Linked DNA regions of Canis lupus familiaris. The protein of the gene in region 1 purifies or fractionates together with the protein of each later gene. This does not show direct contact. Links are inferred from orthologs where the notes say so. Each region holds a gene or a part of one and is shown on either strand. Other genes may lie near its edges. The genes, in order: PRDX1 and TXN.

Region 1 (4,300 bases):
TAAGGCAGTTAATAGGATGGTGGTGGTTGGGGGGTCGTGATAGAGGCAGTGTGGACATAATGTATTTATTACATGCGCCTATTTTATATCGAGTGCTCTGTTATGTCTTAGGGACATGAGGTGTGTGTAACCCAAACCTTACTTTCCAGAAAGTCAATGTAGCAAGAAGAGACAGGCATATAAACATATAAAATAGCTTAAGAGGGCAGCCCCTGTGGCTCAGTGGTTTAGAGCTGCCTTTGGCCCAGGGTGTGATCCTGGAGATGCCTGATCGAGTCCCACTGATCGAGTCCCACGTCGGGTTCCCTGCATGAAGCCTGCTTCTCCCTCTTCCTGTGTCTCTGCCTCTCTGTGTCTCTCATGAATAAATAAACAAAATATATATATTTTTTAAAGAGGTATTTTGTATAGCTTCTGGCCTTACAGGATGTTGTTTTGGGCACAAAGGACGGAATGATAAATTCTGGGGAGGAGCAAAAGCCAGAACAGCTTTCCAGGACTTTTGAGGATGAGCCAAGGTCCGGAACAGTTCCAGAAGTCATGCTTCGGCGGTCTTCAAAGACATTTTCTCTAGGTCTACTAGGAGGGAACAGATTCTTCATATTTGAACAAAAGCCTGAAGTCTTGAAACAGCGACACATTGTTCTGGGTGTTACAATCCAGCTAGGAGCAAGGAAGAATTCTATAATAACAGCTAACATTTCTAACGTATAATAAGAACTAGGAATTGTGCTAAGTAAGCCACAAAGATGATCCCAAGGAATTACTAGTTTTTTTCCATTTTACGGGTGAGAACAATCAAGGCCACACATAAAATGACAATGAGTTTTAACTCAGGAAACAGACTACGGAGCCCCAGTTTTTAAAACCACAAATCAGAGGAGTGAACTGATCAGATTTCAGAAAGATTCCCTCTAGCCGCTGCGTTAGGAGTGGGTGGGAGAAGGAGAGCAGCAATCCTGTAAATCAGAATAATGAAGGAGGTTGTCTAGGTACTGAGGCAGCACTACGGCAGAGGCTGCGGGGATCGGGGTGGCATATGTGAGAAACACTTGACAATTTTAAGTGCTTGATGTGGATTAGACGTAATCCTCCGTGGGGCAAGACCAATACCGCGGTCTGGGTCTTGAGGGCAGGACGCGCAGGAGACCCTCGCAGAGATCCCAGAGTAACAGGGGCATTGGGGCCTCGACACCGCCGCCCTCGGCTCCCCGACCCTAACCGTCGGCAGCAGGGAGGGGGATCCCAACCTTCCGAGCCCGAGCCCGCCCACCGCGAGGGAAAGTGCTGAGTCATTCTGGCGGGGCGCGTTGGCTGGGGCGGGGGCGGGGCCAGATCCCCCTTCCCTCTCCTCCTCCTGCACCCCCAGCCCGCTCTGACTCTCGCGAGAGCCCCGCAGGCTATAAAGGCAGCGCCCCGCGCTCGCCTCACGCGTCTTCTTCCTGACTGGTTATCGGCGGTTAGTCTCCTCAGCGCTGGTGAGAAGGTTCTCCACGCCCGGGTCGTCGTCTTTTCCTGGTTCTCCCAGGGTCTTGCCCTACTTGGCTTGGGTGCTGTGACGGGGGAGGTGGCTGGACGAGGTCTGGCGCTCGAGAGTAGTTAGGCGGTCCGCGCGCCCTCCCTTACGGACGCGGGGACCTGTTTAAACCCTGAGGCTAACGTCGGTTCGAGTTTCCTCTTCCCCCGGCAACCCGAGCGGAGGGCGCTCATTGGCGCGGCGAGGGGGCCTCGTGGTAGTGGTGGGCTCTCCTCAGCTAGGCTCCTTCCGGGCGGGGCGGGCTCAGGAATCTTCTAGAGTGGACCTGGAAACTGACCTGAGGCTACCCGCCTGTCGTGTGGTGGAGGTGATGACTGTTCCCGGCCCTCCGCTGGGCCTACATGGGCAGTTTCCGGTACTGATTTCCTACCCTGGCTTTATTTTTTGCGTTTGTGTAATAGGGTTGTAGTGATCTCAAATTTGTCAAGACTGCTTTTTTTTCTTTTTTTTTTAGGGGGGGCGGCTAGTGCTTTCCTAAGTGCTGTGGTGGGGTTTCTCATGGGAGCGGCAGGAGGGAACCTGAAGCGGGATTTGGGGGCGTGCCTTTAGCCTTGGAAGTTCATGGGCAGATCCACCGAGGCCCACGCCGCCTTGAGGTCTAAGGGCCTTTACCCCGCCGAGTCGGTCTTTAGTGGACGTGAGAACCACGTGGAAAAGCAGGTTTGGATGAGGAGGTCGTTTATGTTAGGATCACACACCCCCTCTATATTTGGTCGCCAAATTGCAACTTGCCTTACTAGGTTTTTTTTTTTTTTTTTAAAAGGCGTTAGCAATAGAAAGTTTGCAATAATAGATGCTTGGTTTTATGCACCAAAAAAGTTTGGGATTTGGGAAATTAGCTTCTTGAGCCTTTCAAACTGATGACTTACTGGTTTACATCTTAATTCCTTAACTTTGTGTTGACCTGAGTGAATCCAGTGCAGCATTGCTTTTTAGCAATGATTTGTTTTGCAGTAAGGATTTTTTTTTAAGGTTAAGTAATCTCTAAATCCAGCATGGAGCTCTAACCCACAGCCCTGAGATAGAGTCACATGCTTCCAACCAACTGAGCCAGCTAGGCTTCCCAGCAATAGACCCTTGTTCCACTTGCTGCTCCAGAATCCTGGCCCTGAGGTCAGAAACCCACCTTTTTTTTTTTTTTTTTTTAAAGATTTTATTTCTTTATTCGTAGAGACAGAGAGAAAGGGGCAGAGGCACAAGCAGGCTCCATGCAGGGAGCCTAACATGGGACTCGATCCAGGGTCTCCAGGATCACACCCCAGGCTGCAGGCGGCGCTAAACCGCTGCGCCATCGGGGCTGCCCAGAAACCTACTTTTGAAAGGACTTCTAGGGCTTAAACACAACCCTTGAAGTTTTGCAATTTAGCAGATGGGAATCATGTCTCTTAAAGACTTGGATTAGGGGGGCAGCCCCTCTGCCTGCCTCTCTCTCTCTCTGCCTCTGAATAAATTAAAAAAAAAAAACAAAAACAAAAACAGAAAACCAGAGTTGGATTAGGGGTGTGCGGTCTCTTGGGCAAATGTACCTGGAGAAAGGTCATGTGGACTTCTTGAATTCTGAAGACAGATAAAGATGCAGTCCAGAGAAAGGGCAACATGACCACTTCTAGAGATCAGACATTCTGTTTGTGGAATTGTTCATTTGGGCTCAGCTTTGATATCGAACCTTCTTTCTCTGGAGCTTTTTGCATAATGAGAGTACAGAAAATGTCACTGCATAAATGATCGTTTAGGAAAAGTAAGAGGTTACTTCAATTTTTAAAAATTGCTGTTTTTAAAGGAAAACAAAAGCTGATGTTCAGAGAAGTATTCTGATTTTTTTTTTAAAGAGTTATTTATTTATTCATCCAGAGAGTGAAGAAAGAGGCAGAGACACAGGCAGAGGGAGAAGCAGGCTCCATGCAGGAAGCCCGACGTGGGACTCGATCCTGGGTCTCCAGGATCACACCCCGGGCTGCAGCCGGCGCTGAACTGCTGCGCCACCGGGGCTGCCCTGATTTTTTTTGTTTTGTTTTAAGAGTGAGTCTTCTAGCGCAGGGGAAGGGAAGAGAGAGAAAGAATTTTAAGCAGGCTCGGTGCTTAGCCTTGAGTTCATGAACTGGGTTTAAATCAAGAGTCAGACGTTTATTTTTTTATTTTTATTTTATTTTATTTTATTTTTTTTTTAATTTTTATTTATTTATGATAGTCACAGAGAGAGAGAGGCAGAGACATAGGCAGAGGGAGAGGGAGAGGGAGAAGCAGGCTCCATGCACCGGGAGCCCGATGTGGGACTCGATCCCGGGTCTCCAGGATCGCGCCCTGGGCCAAAGGCAGGCGCTAAACCGCTGCGCCACCCAGGGTTCCCTTATTTTATTTTTTTAAGAGTCAGATGTTTAAAGGACTGACCCACCCAGGCGCCCTGTAATATTTGGTTTTGTTTCATAAGTTAGAAAGCTCAGTTTTCTGAGCTTTCTCAGATGCGTCTTACTAATATAAAAAAATTAGTATGTATATTTAGGGCCACTGGATAATTCTTTTATTTTGTAGCTAAGTGTCTAGGTAGAAGGGTGTTGGTTACTTAGAAAAATAAGGCTTGTTTCTAATTTACTTCCTCTTTTCTCCAGCCCATAGCAAGATGTCTTCAGGAAATGCCAAAATTGGGCATCCTGCTCCCAACTTCAAAGCCACAGCTGTTATGCCAGATGGCCAGTTCAAAGACCTCAGCCTATCTGACTACAAAGGTAAGAGTAATTATATTAGATTTATTAAAATGGAATTATT
Region 2 (4,391 bases), on another chromosome or scaffold:
TTTGTGAACATAGCAGGCCCTCCGTAAATACTTGGTGAAATTACTTTCAAAACAAAATAGTATACAAACACTGTCAAGGGTTTCCCAAACAATTCTGAATCAAATTCAAGCAAGGCTACCTAAAATTCTGAAAAGAAGAGAGGCACGCAGCAACTTTTGGCTTAACTGAAGAGTTACAGAGCCAGGTAGGTGTAGACGTCACAACCAATTCTCTTCTCCTGATACTTAAGTTTGTCTAAAAGAGACATCGGTTTGAATGAGTAGGTCAAGATTATCTCACCAAGACGCAAACCACAACGTCTAACTCCCAGAGACTAACAATGAACATTAATAAAGGTCCTCATTATGGATCTAAATATTCCAAAAACAAAATATTTGGGGCAGATGAGAGCAGAGTCTAGAGTCTTTTTTCCTAAACAGCCCCATTCCAAAGATAATTAACAGGCATGGGAGTGCCCATGTATAGAGGGTAGGAGTTCAACAAACGGGCAGCTACTACTCTTAAAAATAACACACAACGGTGTGATTTCTTCCAAGCCACATGGACAGTCCGTTATCCCACTTGTATCTCAAATAGATACCAGTGGTTCTGAACTATCGCACCTTAGAACGAGCTGTCCTGGATGGCCAACGGCACCAACTCTAGTCCAGCAGGATGAAAATCTAAAGTGTATTCAACGTTTGCAAGTAACACTGAAACGAGCTTAACTTTTGATTAACGTCCCTGGAACATTAATTCTGAAGATCAGCTGAATGATCGGGGTCTCTGCGCTCCAGGCTGTAGTGGTTTTTTTGTGTGTGTGTGTGACCAATTTCTGGTCACCCCTGTATGTCTTCTCCTTGATGAGGAGAGGAGGACGCCAAAAGTATGACAACTAAGATACAGAAAAACTGATAGAGGTGTTCCAGGAATCAACCGATTTTGTTTGTAGGTATGCATTCTGAGACAACGACTGTAAACCACTCAAAGTCTTCTCCCTCCTTTATGGGTTCTCACCTGTTGGGTTTACTGATGAAGAGGTCAGACTCTGGGGAACACCCCCCCACACACACACCCAGACTGATTTGTCACTCAGTGGGTACTGAATAAAAGTAGGGGGGAACAAAATTCTATATTAGTGACCTCTCCAACAAATGACAGGATTGCTAATTTTAATATAAAAGCTCACACAATAATAATAAAACGTCAATAGGAAAAAAACTCAGGACAAGTAGATAACAAATCGTAATTAATCCATCAACAAATGGGGCGGGGTGAGTTCAGAGTCACTAATAATCAAAGGAGATACAATTTTTCCTACTAATGATTTGGCCAAAGTTAGAGGGGGAAAGGTCAGTGTCGATGGGGGTGGAGGGGAAGAGCACTCGCCTATGCTTCTTGGGGACTTATAAGCCTTAAATAAAAGGTTCACACCCCTTGACCCCATCACTGCACTGGACCCTAACCTGAGGAAACAAGCCTGAACTCTGCAAGGGGGCATGAACAAAAACATTCACCGAGGCACTGAAAACCGCCCAAATGTCCAGCAACATGTTCAGGTATTGCATGGATTCCAAACCTGCCAACTACACAAAAAAGGGTTCAGGCTAAACTGGGGGGGGGGGGGGGGGGGGGGGGGGGGAGGCTCAGGAACAAAACAGGATACGTAAAATAACCAACCACTTTGGACTTGCTTGTAGGAAACAGAAGCTCTCGTGCGCGCTCAGTTTTCTACAACGATCATACAGGCTTTCTGATTATAAGGGTCAACCAAACGGTGGGCACCCCTACAGAGCAGCTCGCATTTCCGAAGCCACCCAGCATCTCCGGTCCAGACGCTCAAGGCGGGCGAGGGCCGGGATGGGAGCGGCCGCCAGGTAACCGCTCCCCGCTCTCGAGGGTCTCCCCGGGGCTCCAGCACCGCCGGGGGCGCGCACCTGCCGCCCGGGCCCCGAGCACGCGGCGCCCCCGACGGGCCGGGCCCGGCCCCGGCCCCAGCCCCAGCCCCGGCCCCGGCCCCGCGCACTGAGTCATCCCACCGCCAGCGCCGCCGGAAACACGCCCAGCGCCGCCGAGGAGGAGTCCCAGGGCGCGCCCGCCGCGCTTCCCCGCCGCCACCTGGGCCCGCGCACTGCAGGAGGCCGCGGGGACACGCCGCCCGCCCGCCGCCTCCAACGCGCCCTCCAGCGCCCGGCCCCGCCCCACCCCGGCGGCCAACCCGGCCTCCCGGGCAAGGGGTGCAGGAGCGGGGGAGGGGGGGGGCTCGGCGCCCTGGCCACGGGCAGCCCCGGCATCCAGCGCCCGGCCCGGCTCTCCGGAGCACGGGGGTGCAGGGGGTGCAGGGGGGACGGGGGTGGGGGGCGCCCTTGGCGCCCTGGCCACAGTCAGCCCGGCATCCAGCGCCCGGCCCGGCCGTCTCCATCCCCGCGGCCAACTGGGCCTCCCGAGCACCGGGGTGCAGCAGGAGCGGGGGGGACGCTCGGCGCCCTGGCCGCGGGCAGCCCCAGCATCCGGGCCGCGGGAGCGCGGGGTGCAGGAGCAGCGGGGGGGGCCTCGGCGCCCTGGCCACGGCAGCCCCGGCATCCAGCGCCCATCCCGGCGGCCGACCCGGCCTCCCGAGCACAGGGTGCAGGAGCGGGATGGGGGGGCCCCGGCGCCCCGGCCACGGGCAGCCCCGGCATCCAGCGCCCATCCCGGCGGCCGACCCGGCCTCCCGAGCACGGGGTGCAGGAGCGGGGGGGCCCTCGGCGCCCTGGCCACGGCAGCCCCCGCATCCAGCGCCCATCCCGGCCTCCCTCCCCGCGGGGCACGCTCGGCCGCCCCAGGCGCGCCCAGGCCCCGGCGTCCCGCACTCCCGGGCCCAGGCGCCGCGTCCCCTCCCCGGGCAGGGACGCCGACGCCCTCGCCCTCGCCCTCGCCCTCGCCCTCGCCCCTGGCCGGCGACGGAGGCGGCGTACCTTGCTCTCGATCTGCTTCACCATCTTGGCGGCTGGCGTCTGACGAGCGGCGCGAGACGGAGGGAGCGGGTGCAGGGCGCCGGCCGGGGCCTGCCGGGGACGCAGCCCGCCTTCCCTTTATAGCGACTGGGGGCGGGGCGGGCGGGCGCGCGCGGCGTGCGTGTGGCGGGGGCGCGCCCGCTCGGAGCCCCGGCCAGGCCCCGCCTTCCGGAACCGCGGAGACGCCGGCCGGGGGCGGGGCCTCCAGGGGGCGGGGCCTCCAGGGGGCGGGGTCGCCGCGGGCGCGGGGCGGGGCTACCGGGAGCGGCCCGGGCTCGGAGCCCGGGGCCCCGCCCGCCCGCGCAGCAGCTGGGAGCGGGGTGCGCGGGGGCGCCTGCGGGGCGCTCTGTGCGGGGGGCGGGTCCCCCAGAGCCCCGGAGCCACCCGGGAGGGGATCGGCCGTAACCGAAGGCCCCCACGTGCGAGACGGGGCGGATGCGCTTAGCTAGGGCCGGATTCCTCGAAAAGGTCCGCCACACTCCTCCCCCTCCCCGCCCCCCGCCGGCCCCGCAAACCCCACAAAGTGCTGAGTAACGATGACCAGGAAATGCCTCTTCGCTGGAGCTTATCGCGACGGCTCTCTTCTCTGCCCTCTTTCCTTTTCTTTTACTTTCACCGTTGGAGCCGCCGCTGCTCCGGCGTGACACTGCACTCTAGCGCGTGGGAGGGCAGGAAACGGGCTGGGCTCCTGACCTGCAGGCACCTGCGTGGGGGGGGGGGGTACGTGCGGCTCCACTGGTGCAGGTGCGGCCGCGGGCCGTCCCGACGTCCCGATGCCTCAGTGTTCCTGTCTGTAAAATGGGGATCTTGCTGGTCTCTAATTCATGCCAGGGGTGTTTTGAGGATGAAATGAAGTGCTTGTGAAGCCATTAGGACACTGCTTTGGTACCATAGCAAGTACCCAATAGTTATAATCAAAGCTGGTGTGAGTACTAATTAGGCTTGCTTGGTGTCCTTGTTTGGGGCGGGGTGGGGGGTAATGCTGCTCTTGTCGACCTTATATTTATAATGGCGCCAGTACACACATTTGTGTGAGTTTTTTTCTACTACTGGTAGAACCCGGAACAGAGGTGTTGATCCAGGGATGCGTGTTGCAGGTTGGGTCTGGTAGGTTGGTAGGCATTGTGAAGGCCTCAGGAGGGCCCGTCAGCGGCAGGAGGTGAAGGTGGCAAAGGCTTTGAGCTGGAGAGGAATGGAGGCTTGGAGGGTGGAGGTGTTGGGGTGGGGGTCTGAGCAGGAATTTTTCAGCGGGGGAGCAGCTCTGGATGGAGCTACCTCTAGGTGTGTTTGTTGGGATGGTGAAACTGCCCCCTGCCTTCCTTCTCCCTGCTCTTGCAGACAGAAGGAAGAAAACCAGGGGTTTGAACCCATCGTGCCTGCAGGGTTGAGGAGCACAGGGCCCATGAGTAAGACCA

What was found.
Region 2: the proteins of PRDX1 (region 1) and TXN purify together in Homo sapiens (affinity purification with western blotting; 3 studies listed by BioGRID, with this or other methods). This does not show direct contact. The link is inferred for Canis lupus familiaris from reciprocal best matches to the Homo sapiens genes PRDX1 and TXN.

Annotation. Positions count from the first base shown.
Region 1 is NC_049236.1:14,929,385-14,933,684, forward strand, and holds the start of PRDX1 (peroxiredoxin-1), read left to right. Parts: upstream 1-1,446; 5' UTR 1,447-1,478; exon of another isoform or gene 1,479-1,738; intron 1,739-4,143; 5' UTR 4,144-4,154; coding exon 4,155-4,260; intron 4,261-4,300. UniProt on the Homo sapiens protein: Thiol-specific peroxidase that catalyzes the reduction of hydrogen peroxide and organic hydroperoxides to water and alcohols, respectively.
Region 2 is NC_049232.1:65,600,175-65,604,565, forward strand, and holds the start of TXN (thioredoxin), read right to left. Parts: upstream 3,078-4,391; 5' UTR 2,962-3,077; coding exon 2,938-2,961; intron 1-2,937. UniProt on the Homo sapiens protein: Participates in various redox reactions through the reversible oxidation of its active center dithiol to a disulfide and catalyzes dithiol-disulfide exchange reactions.